2 linked regions of the Drosophila melanogaster genome follow. The protein of the gene in region 2 interacts with the protein of the main gene of each other region in a pairwise test. Each region holds a gene or a part of one and is shown on either strand. Other genes may lie near its edges. The genes, in order: CG4676 and CG42393.

Evidence for each region.
Region 1: the proteins of CG42393 (region 2) and CG4676 interact in a two-hybrid assay, tested with the Drosophila melanogaster proteins (one large-scale study listed by BioGRID).

Annotation. Positions count from the first base shown.
Region 1 is NT_033778.4:13,234,040-13,237,669, reverse strand, and holds CG4676 (uncharacterized protein), read right to left. Parts: upstream 1,691-3,630; 5' UTR 1,656-1,690; coding exon 1,415-1,655; intron 1,363-1,414; coding exon 749-1,362; 3' UTR 615-748; downstream 1-614. Other genes in the region: CG4679 (uncharacterized protein), read left to right, coding at 1-356; Qsox1 (quiescin sulfhydryl oxidase 1), read left to right, coding at 2,773-3,630.
Region 2 is NT_037436.4:18,040,677-18,044,841, reverse strand, and holds CG42393 (uncharacterized protein), read right to left. Parts: upstream 2,110-4,165; 5' UTR 1,999-2,109; coding exon 1,732-1,998; intron 1,657-1,731; coding exon 1,575-1,656; intron 1,512-1,574; coding exon 1,453-1,511; 3' UTR 1,164-1,452; intron 1,109-1,163; 3' UTR 972-1,108; intron 825-971; 3' UTR 628-824; downstream 1-627. Other genes in the region: CG32192 (uncharacterized protein), read right to left, coding at 3,856-3,914, 3,998-4,079, 4,153-4,165.

The sequences.
Region 1 (3,630 bases), on a different chromosome or scaffold from region 2:
AGGAGGCTATCAAGCGTCTCCGAAAGGTCTCCTTCACCGGCCAAATGCTGGGAGATATACTCACGCTTCTCGTTCGCGGTGGTAGCTACGAAAAGGCGACCGAAGTCTTCGCCCACATTGACAAGAACCAGCACAGAATTCCCGGAACACCAAGCCTAAATGCTCTGATAGAATTTGTGGACGCAAGTGTGCAGGAGAAGTCACCCAGCCAGGCGCTGTTTGCCCTGCAATATGCCGTTGAGAACAACTTTGATTCCAGGGAGTTAGCCAAACGTATTCATGAAGGATTTACCCTAAATGAAACACACCTGTCTAAGCTGAAATCGCTCGTAGGCGAAAGTTTCCTCGATAAGTAGTAGAGTCTTTTGTAAATTATATAATGAACGCTGTTAAATAAATAACCATTTAATAAATACTTGTTTGGTTTCATTAAACAGATTAATTTAATACATATAATAGACATTACTGAATGAATACACAGTATTCTAAATATTTTGTAAAGCTTTATGTTAATAAAAGGCTTTGTACTATTTTAACTTGTAAGCTGATCAAATGTGTGACTTGTAAACATTAAAAATTAATTTCCATTGGTCAAGTAGAGAATAGTAAGACGTATAAATTTGGATACTATTTCCAATTCAGATGTTGACTAGTGAGTCTTAAAATAAACAATACTGATTTTGTTATGAAGTAGATATAAGTAAATGCCTCTAATGAATGTCAAGAATGGGTAAGACACAATTCAGATCTATTCCTCCTTTGGAGAAAAGGCGGCTATGGGTTCCCAGTTCATTCCGTCGTGTGGCAGATCGCTGCGTAGAAACGGCGACAGCCAGGTGAGATGCATTCTCTTGCCCAGAACCATCTCCAGGTTACCCCGCAAACCGCGATCGTACTTTCTTGTGCCGCGCTCTCGTGTCACCGAACCGCTCTTGAATATCGACCAGTGGAAGACAAGGAGCAAGGATGATATGGCGAAGCCCAGAAGGGTGAGATCATATATGACCAAGTAGAAGGACTCCCAGCTTGGAGACAGCATCAGGCTAACCACGGGAGCAAATATGGTGAACAGCGTAGACCAGCGCCAGTAGATGTCCAGATGGAGATGCCACAGATAGATGCTCTCCATGATGGCGGCCGCCAAGGATCCGATGATCATGTAAACCAGGTAGTAGAAGAAGTACCTGTAGTTGTGATGCCCGATGCAGCAGCAAGTGAACCGACAGTGGTGGTCCCGCTTCAGCACGCACACGTTGCACACTTCGCAGTGCCAGGATCGAGGTGGCACCAATGTCTGACAATCCTGGCAAGAGTGCCACCGTGCCAGCTGCGCCGCATCCAACGGTGGCTTCAGCAGCTCCTCTATAAAGACAATCTTAGAAGGGATACCACAAAATCACTGCTTGCTACCCACTGCGGATACTAGTGTCCACAAGCATGCAGGCCAGCATGTTGGATGTGATGTTGAAGATGAGGAACAGGCTGGCCAACCATAATAACGTGTACCAAATCCCTCCGATGGCAAACAGTTCCGGCATAACAATGGTCACATGGAAGATGTATGTCACGGGCACAAAGACAGCCACCAGGAGGAAACATGCGAAATCCGAAATGGAACGAGGTTTAACGCGATCCCACGAGCGCAAAATCATCATGCTCCCGTTATTTTTTGTACCCCCCAACTGAGACAGTGCTGCAAAGCGATTTTTGGCTCTGCTGCTAACGGTAAGACTGTTAAGTCGAGTATGGTGAAACGGTTAGAACACAACTCTTTACGTTAGGAAACCCGTAAAATGTTAAATAAGATTGAATTTAACAGAAGCAATCCGGTTTTTAAAGAACACAAATGATTTAATTTAAAGAAATATAAATATATAAGGTAATAATAAGTAACTTAATACGAATAAATCAAATGTCATAAACGATGGTATATTAAAGGAATACAAATGTTATAAGCTTAAGTTCTTAAGTTTGCTTTATATTATTACATAAAAACTTGAAATTAAAAATAAAATTTTATTTGAAATTAAAGAACGACTTTATAATGGGGATTTCTACTGTGAAATTACAAAAACAAAAACCATACAAAATTGATAAGGCATAGCGCTTCGATGAAACTTTGCTTTGTTTTTTTTCTTGGAACTTTTAAAGGCGATTCAATTAATATATACGTGTGCATAATAGGTTGGGGTTTTTTTTTGCGGATTATCGAAAACCATATGACGAACGAGACAATAAAATAAAAGAATATGTTTAACTAAACAATGTAAAGTTTTAAATTGTGAAAAATAATCATTTCCTTGATGTAGAGTGCAAGCAGGTATAAAACATTGCCTAGCCTAGGTGCACTGTTCTTTTTATATTACTTTAATAATTTTTTTCTTTTTTAGGTTTTAAAATTTTGGGAGCGAACTAGTTCGCAGTAAAAATGAATTCGTGTAGCTAGTAGTTTATACATATATACCAAATGACTTTTACTGACAATAAAACAAATTAATAGGCAAAGTAATTTAAAAATGCACAAATTATATGGCACGAAAAACGTTTAACATCGTTTCGCTTCGCGAGTTTTGAAAATAGCTGAAGAATCGTAGCTAGAAAGCAGACGATTTGGCATCCCTGGCAGCAGTTAATCAAACCACTTGCGACCGTAAAACATTCCAAATGCTTCGGTGAAGTTAAATCTTATCGCAGCAGAGCAGTCGCGTTCCACATCGCATTCCGTACGAATCGCAGCCGCAACCGATCCCGCAAATTGGGTAGATCCGCAAAATGTCGGCGACGCACCTGGTGATTCTGGCCGTCGCTCTGCTGGTGGACATCGCATCCGCGGGCGTTCCCCTTCCGCGATACGAGGCGCTCCTCAAGCAGCAGTCCCCTCCATCGGATCCCACACTGGGTCTCTACGACGACGGGGATAAGGTTATCCGCCTGTCGGTCGACAACTTCAATGCTACCGTCCTGGACCAGAATCGCGGAGCATTAGTCGAGTTCTACAACACTTACTGCGGCCACTGTCGCAGATTCGCACCCACGTACAAGTCGGTAGCGGAGCACCTGTTGCCCTGGTCCGAGGTGCTCATCGTGGCGGCCATCGATTGCGCCGCCGAGGAGAACAATGGCATCTGCCGCAACTACGAGGTGATGGGCTATCCAACGCTACGTTATCTGGGCCCCGGTTTCCAGCCGGGTCCTCAGCATTACGGGCAGAGCCTGCATACGCAGGATAAAAACGAAATCCGCGAAATACTAGCGGGTATGGTGGCCGCAGAGAACCTGACCAGCAGCCACAACAATTCCTACTGGCCAAACTTTCACTACTTAACGGAGAACGATTCAGCCAGCAGTTTGTTCGAAGGTCTCAGCAGCGCCACGGAGTACGTGGCAGTGGTTCACGAACCGGAGAACACCACTCTAGGCGTCGAGGTGGCTCTGTTCATGACCCAGTGGCCAGCGGTGAGGGTCCGGCGCGTCATCGATCCAGCCGTGGCCGCCAAATTCAAGATTGATCCGACCAATCTGCCCCTCAGCTTGGTGGATCGCAAAGGTGAAATTACGGCGTACGCGCCGGAATCTACCAATGGTGAATCGTATGCCAAGAAGCTGTGGGATGTACTGGGTAAGAAGAAT
Region 2 (4,165 bases):
AAGTGGGCGAGCGTAATAAAAATGTTAGAAAAAAGCACAAGGTCATTGAGAAGCGGAAGAGAAAAACAAAAGGCAAAAAGCAGAAAGCAAAAGGCAATAGCAATAGAAACAAAACCCAGGCGAACACAAAAAAAAACAAAAAAATGTGACACACTGAAAGCGAGAACACAATAATTATACAAACAAATATTTATGTATGTATGTATGCACGGGTTGGTTTGTCGGGGTTTCTAGGCGGCGGGGAGGGTGTTGTGTGCCTGGCAAGTGCAGGCGTATAACGTGAATCTAAAACATTTCCTGAACGAGCGAGCGAGACGGCGGTAACAATTAGCGAAAAGTGAATTTGATTACAGTTGCAACGGGGCGTATGAGTGACGTACTTGAGTGCCGCCTGCGATCGAGCTATCGCCGTCTCCCTTCCGCGCCCTTGCCCACACCGTTACAATCGCATTGAAACTGAGGCTGCGTAACGGTATCGCACTAGGCCAAGTTACAAGGTCTCGTCGGTAATCCCACACCCAAGCGGTATGTCCTCACAGCGATATTTCCATGATTGCCAACTGGCATTGCATTCTCCTATTCGAGTTATATTATTATTATTTATAACTAACAGATGTGAAGTGCATTCTCGTTTCATAACACGGCTAGGAAACCCTTTTATTTATATTAGGATAATTTATATTTCACTTGATACGGGACAAGTGTTTTAAATTTGTTTGCTGATAAATTTCGAATTGCATTGCAAATTTTAGTCCATTCGTTTCGTAGTCACTTCGAATTTCCACGTTTTCCATATACTGCTGACTAGGTTTTACAAAGTACAACTGAATCGGGAAATTAAGAAAATAGAAATTAGAACACGAAGTACAGTAGTATTCCAATGAATCGACTATCAGATACCCGTTACTCTTTTCAGTTAATTTTGTTCAGTAACGGGTATGAATAGTGACAAAAAAATATTTTGCACTTACATGATGTAAACATATTGCAGACAATATGATATTTCTTTTCTAAGACCAATAAAAATATTTATTAAGATTTATAGAGCACTCAATGTAGATCACGACACGTATTCCTTTTCCATGCAGCATAATTTTACCGCGTATATCTAATTAAAAAATACAAATTATTTAAAAATATAAAATCTTCCTTAAATGACTTACATGCTGTGTTCTTAATTTTTGTGCGGACTCTTTCAAAATGGTATAAAAGAAGTATTAGCCTTGTTTTGTGCACAGTGAATGTCGAATCTGCCCCGTTATTAAAGTTCTTTCTTACTGAATAATTTCACCACAAAATCGAGTAGCAGTACAAGGAATATTTAAACAAATAGTGTAACTGTACGGCAAGCAATAGCTTAAATCTTTTCCAAAATTTTATAATATATTTCAATAATCCTGCTGTCAATTTTAATCCCTTCCAGTCCACTGCTCTTGCTTAGATCCAATTAATTTAATTAAAGTTCTCTTTAAGATATCTGCATAATTTCACTGTGGCGGCAATGTGCACAACTAAATCGAGAAATATATGTAAATAATGCAGTTGCAGCTAGTGCATATAAATTTAATACTTACTTAAAGGAAATACATAAAGGATGTTATATATTGGAAAGAAATAGCTTATGATCTTGCCAGCGAAGAAGACCCCCTTTGAGTTCTGATATAAAAAAAGAAAAACAAGTTATTAAGCTTATTAGATGGCCAAATGCGAATTATCAGGAGCTTTGCTTACCAGGTGGATTCCAACAGCTAGTAAAGTTCCAGCAATGACGTACGAAAGGGCAAAAATCACATCCATCGAGTAAAGGATGCGGAAAGTTGAGGGAGACATGTCAGCACCATGCATATGCAAATAAAAATCCACGACTGTAATAGAGCTTTTCAAAAGTATTACATTGTGAATCGAAAAAATGAGCATGAAGAGACCGCATGAAATGCAGAAAGCGGCATAGAAAATTGAGCAGCACCGAACTGGTTGTTCCTCACACGATTTACACATTGTTAAATTTTTCAAAATATTTTATAATTATTAGAGCAATAACACGGTGAATTTTTTGTAAGGAAACAAAATTTTGAGCGACTGACTTGTGTTAGTACAAAAACTGTAATGAAATAATATTCGTAGACGACTGCGACGTGCGAATTTTTGGAAACTTTCGGCAGCCTACTTTGTTTAACACAGTAGATCACCAAAAAGTAAAAGACTTTAATATCCTATTTAAAAGTTAAAATCTTTAGATCAATTTGTGTAGATAAAAAGAAATTTCGCACTTAACATATAGCTATGTCATTAAGAAAGTGCAGTATTCTTATCAACGAAGGCTTGTAAAGCTGACTAAATGAATATTTCTTTAAATTTACACCAACTAATTATTTTGTGCTGTTCACGATGAGAGATGCCTTCATTTTATAAAAGAATGAATCACAGGATCTAAGTGCACACTCATCCCTTTAACAAATCACCTCTAATTTTAAGCAATACCTTTTGATTCCTTTTTTACTCACTCGAACCACACCATCACAGCAGATTTTCATTTAGCGAACCGCATCTTTAAAGGTCCATAAAATGTAGATCAACATCACTGGGCACGTGGATAAACAATTTTGTCGGTCTTTTTCTAAGCGTACCTAGTAGGTACTACCTACATACACCTTTTAAAACTTGCTGAAAATACATTCCCTTCAAATAAGCCCATCTTTAAGTGATTCAGTTCAGCATATGTATGTAACGCCGAAAAAACAAATGACCTAAAAAACACTTCCTATATCTGTTGCTCGCTTTTTATTAAATTTAAAGCTAAATTATACATTATCCTGAATAAGTGTATACCGATATACATAATTAAAAAAAATAATTAAAAAATTTCCATTTTTCCATTTATTTTTCGATTATTCCCGAGGTAGCCATGTAAAATAATGCTCAGACTTGCATTACACAGAACACTGCTTTGAGGATACTTTAGTGCATATATACTTTCATATGGTCACAATTCTCTCCTTTACAGTGCTGCAAAGCTTCTTAATGAAATTAGTGTACAATTATATAAAAGAATGAATGACGTCAAGACACGAGCTTGAAATCGTGGTAATGCGAAGAGTTCTTTGAAAATATTTATTTTAATACAGTTTTCACTTATTTTGGTATATAGTTTCACAAAAAATTTTCCTCGGAATGAAATTGGTTTGCTGCTATAATACAAATTTTGAATTGCATTGCAAATTTCAGTCTATCCGATTCGTAGCCACTTTGAATTTTCACGATTTCCTTATACTGCTGAATATTTTTACAAAGTAAAACTGAGTAGAGAAAACAAAACAGAAATTAGAACATGGAAAAAGAACTATAGTCGATTGAATCGACTATTTCTTATTCTCGTTACTGGCATTTTTATATTTTATTACTTGTTTGAATTGATTGAAAGTATTTCTGATCAAGAATATTTATACTTTGCAGCGTCGTAATCGCAGCACAAATAATTAGCCTTGTAACGGGTATAAGTATTTAACACTTACATGCCGTAGACAAATGATTACAGTATTAGATGGTAATAGGATATATGTATCTATTACAACACTCAAAAGCAAAGTCAATTTTGATCATCGGTCGGCACTGCGAATTACCGAATAATTTTCTTGCTGTGCATTTTTTCCACGTATAACTAAATCAGGGGAGAATAAATTTATAAATGTTATACACTTATATAATTAAGCACTTACATTATGTTAACTATTGTAAAAGCTGAAATGAGTCCACAATTATGTATATATATATACAAATGTATCCTTTGTTGCATCCTTGTGACAGTCAATTTTGTTATCGTCGAATTTATTAGGTTTGAGAATATCCAACTCTGCTCTAATCAAAGTTTTCCTTTAGATATCTGCATAATTTTATCACACAGCCAATATGTATAACTATAAAAAAAAAACAAGAAAAGAAAATTATATGAGTGTGTATTAGTATAAAGGTCAAATGTAAAAATATGTTATACACTTACCTAATGGAAATACATAAACAATATTATATATGGGAAAGAAATAGCTTAAGATCTTTCCAGCTTTAATAAATCCCTTTGTTTTCTTAAAAAAAAAAAGAAAAAACAATGGTGATTACTAAATAGTTCTAATATGAATTGGCTGAACGGTTGCTTACGCTTTTGATTCCC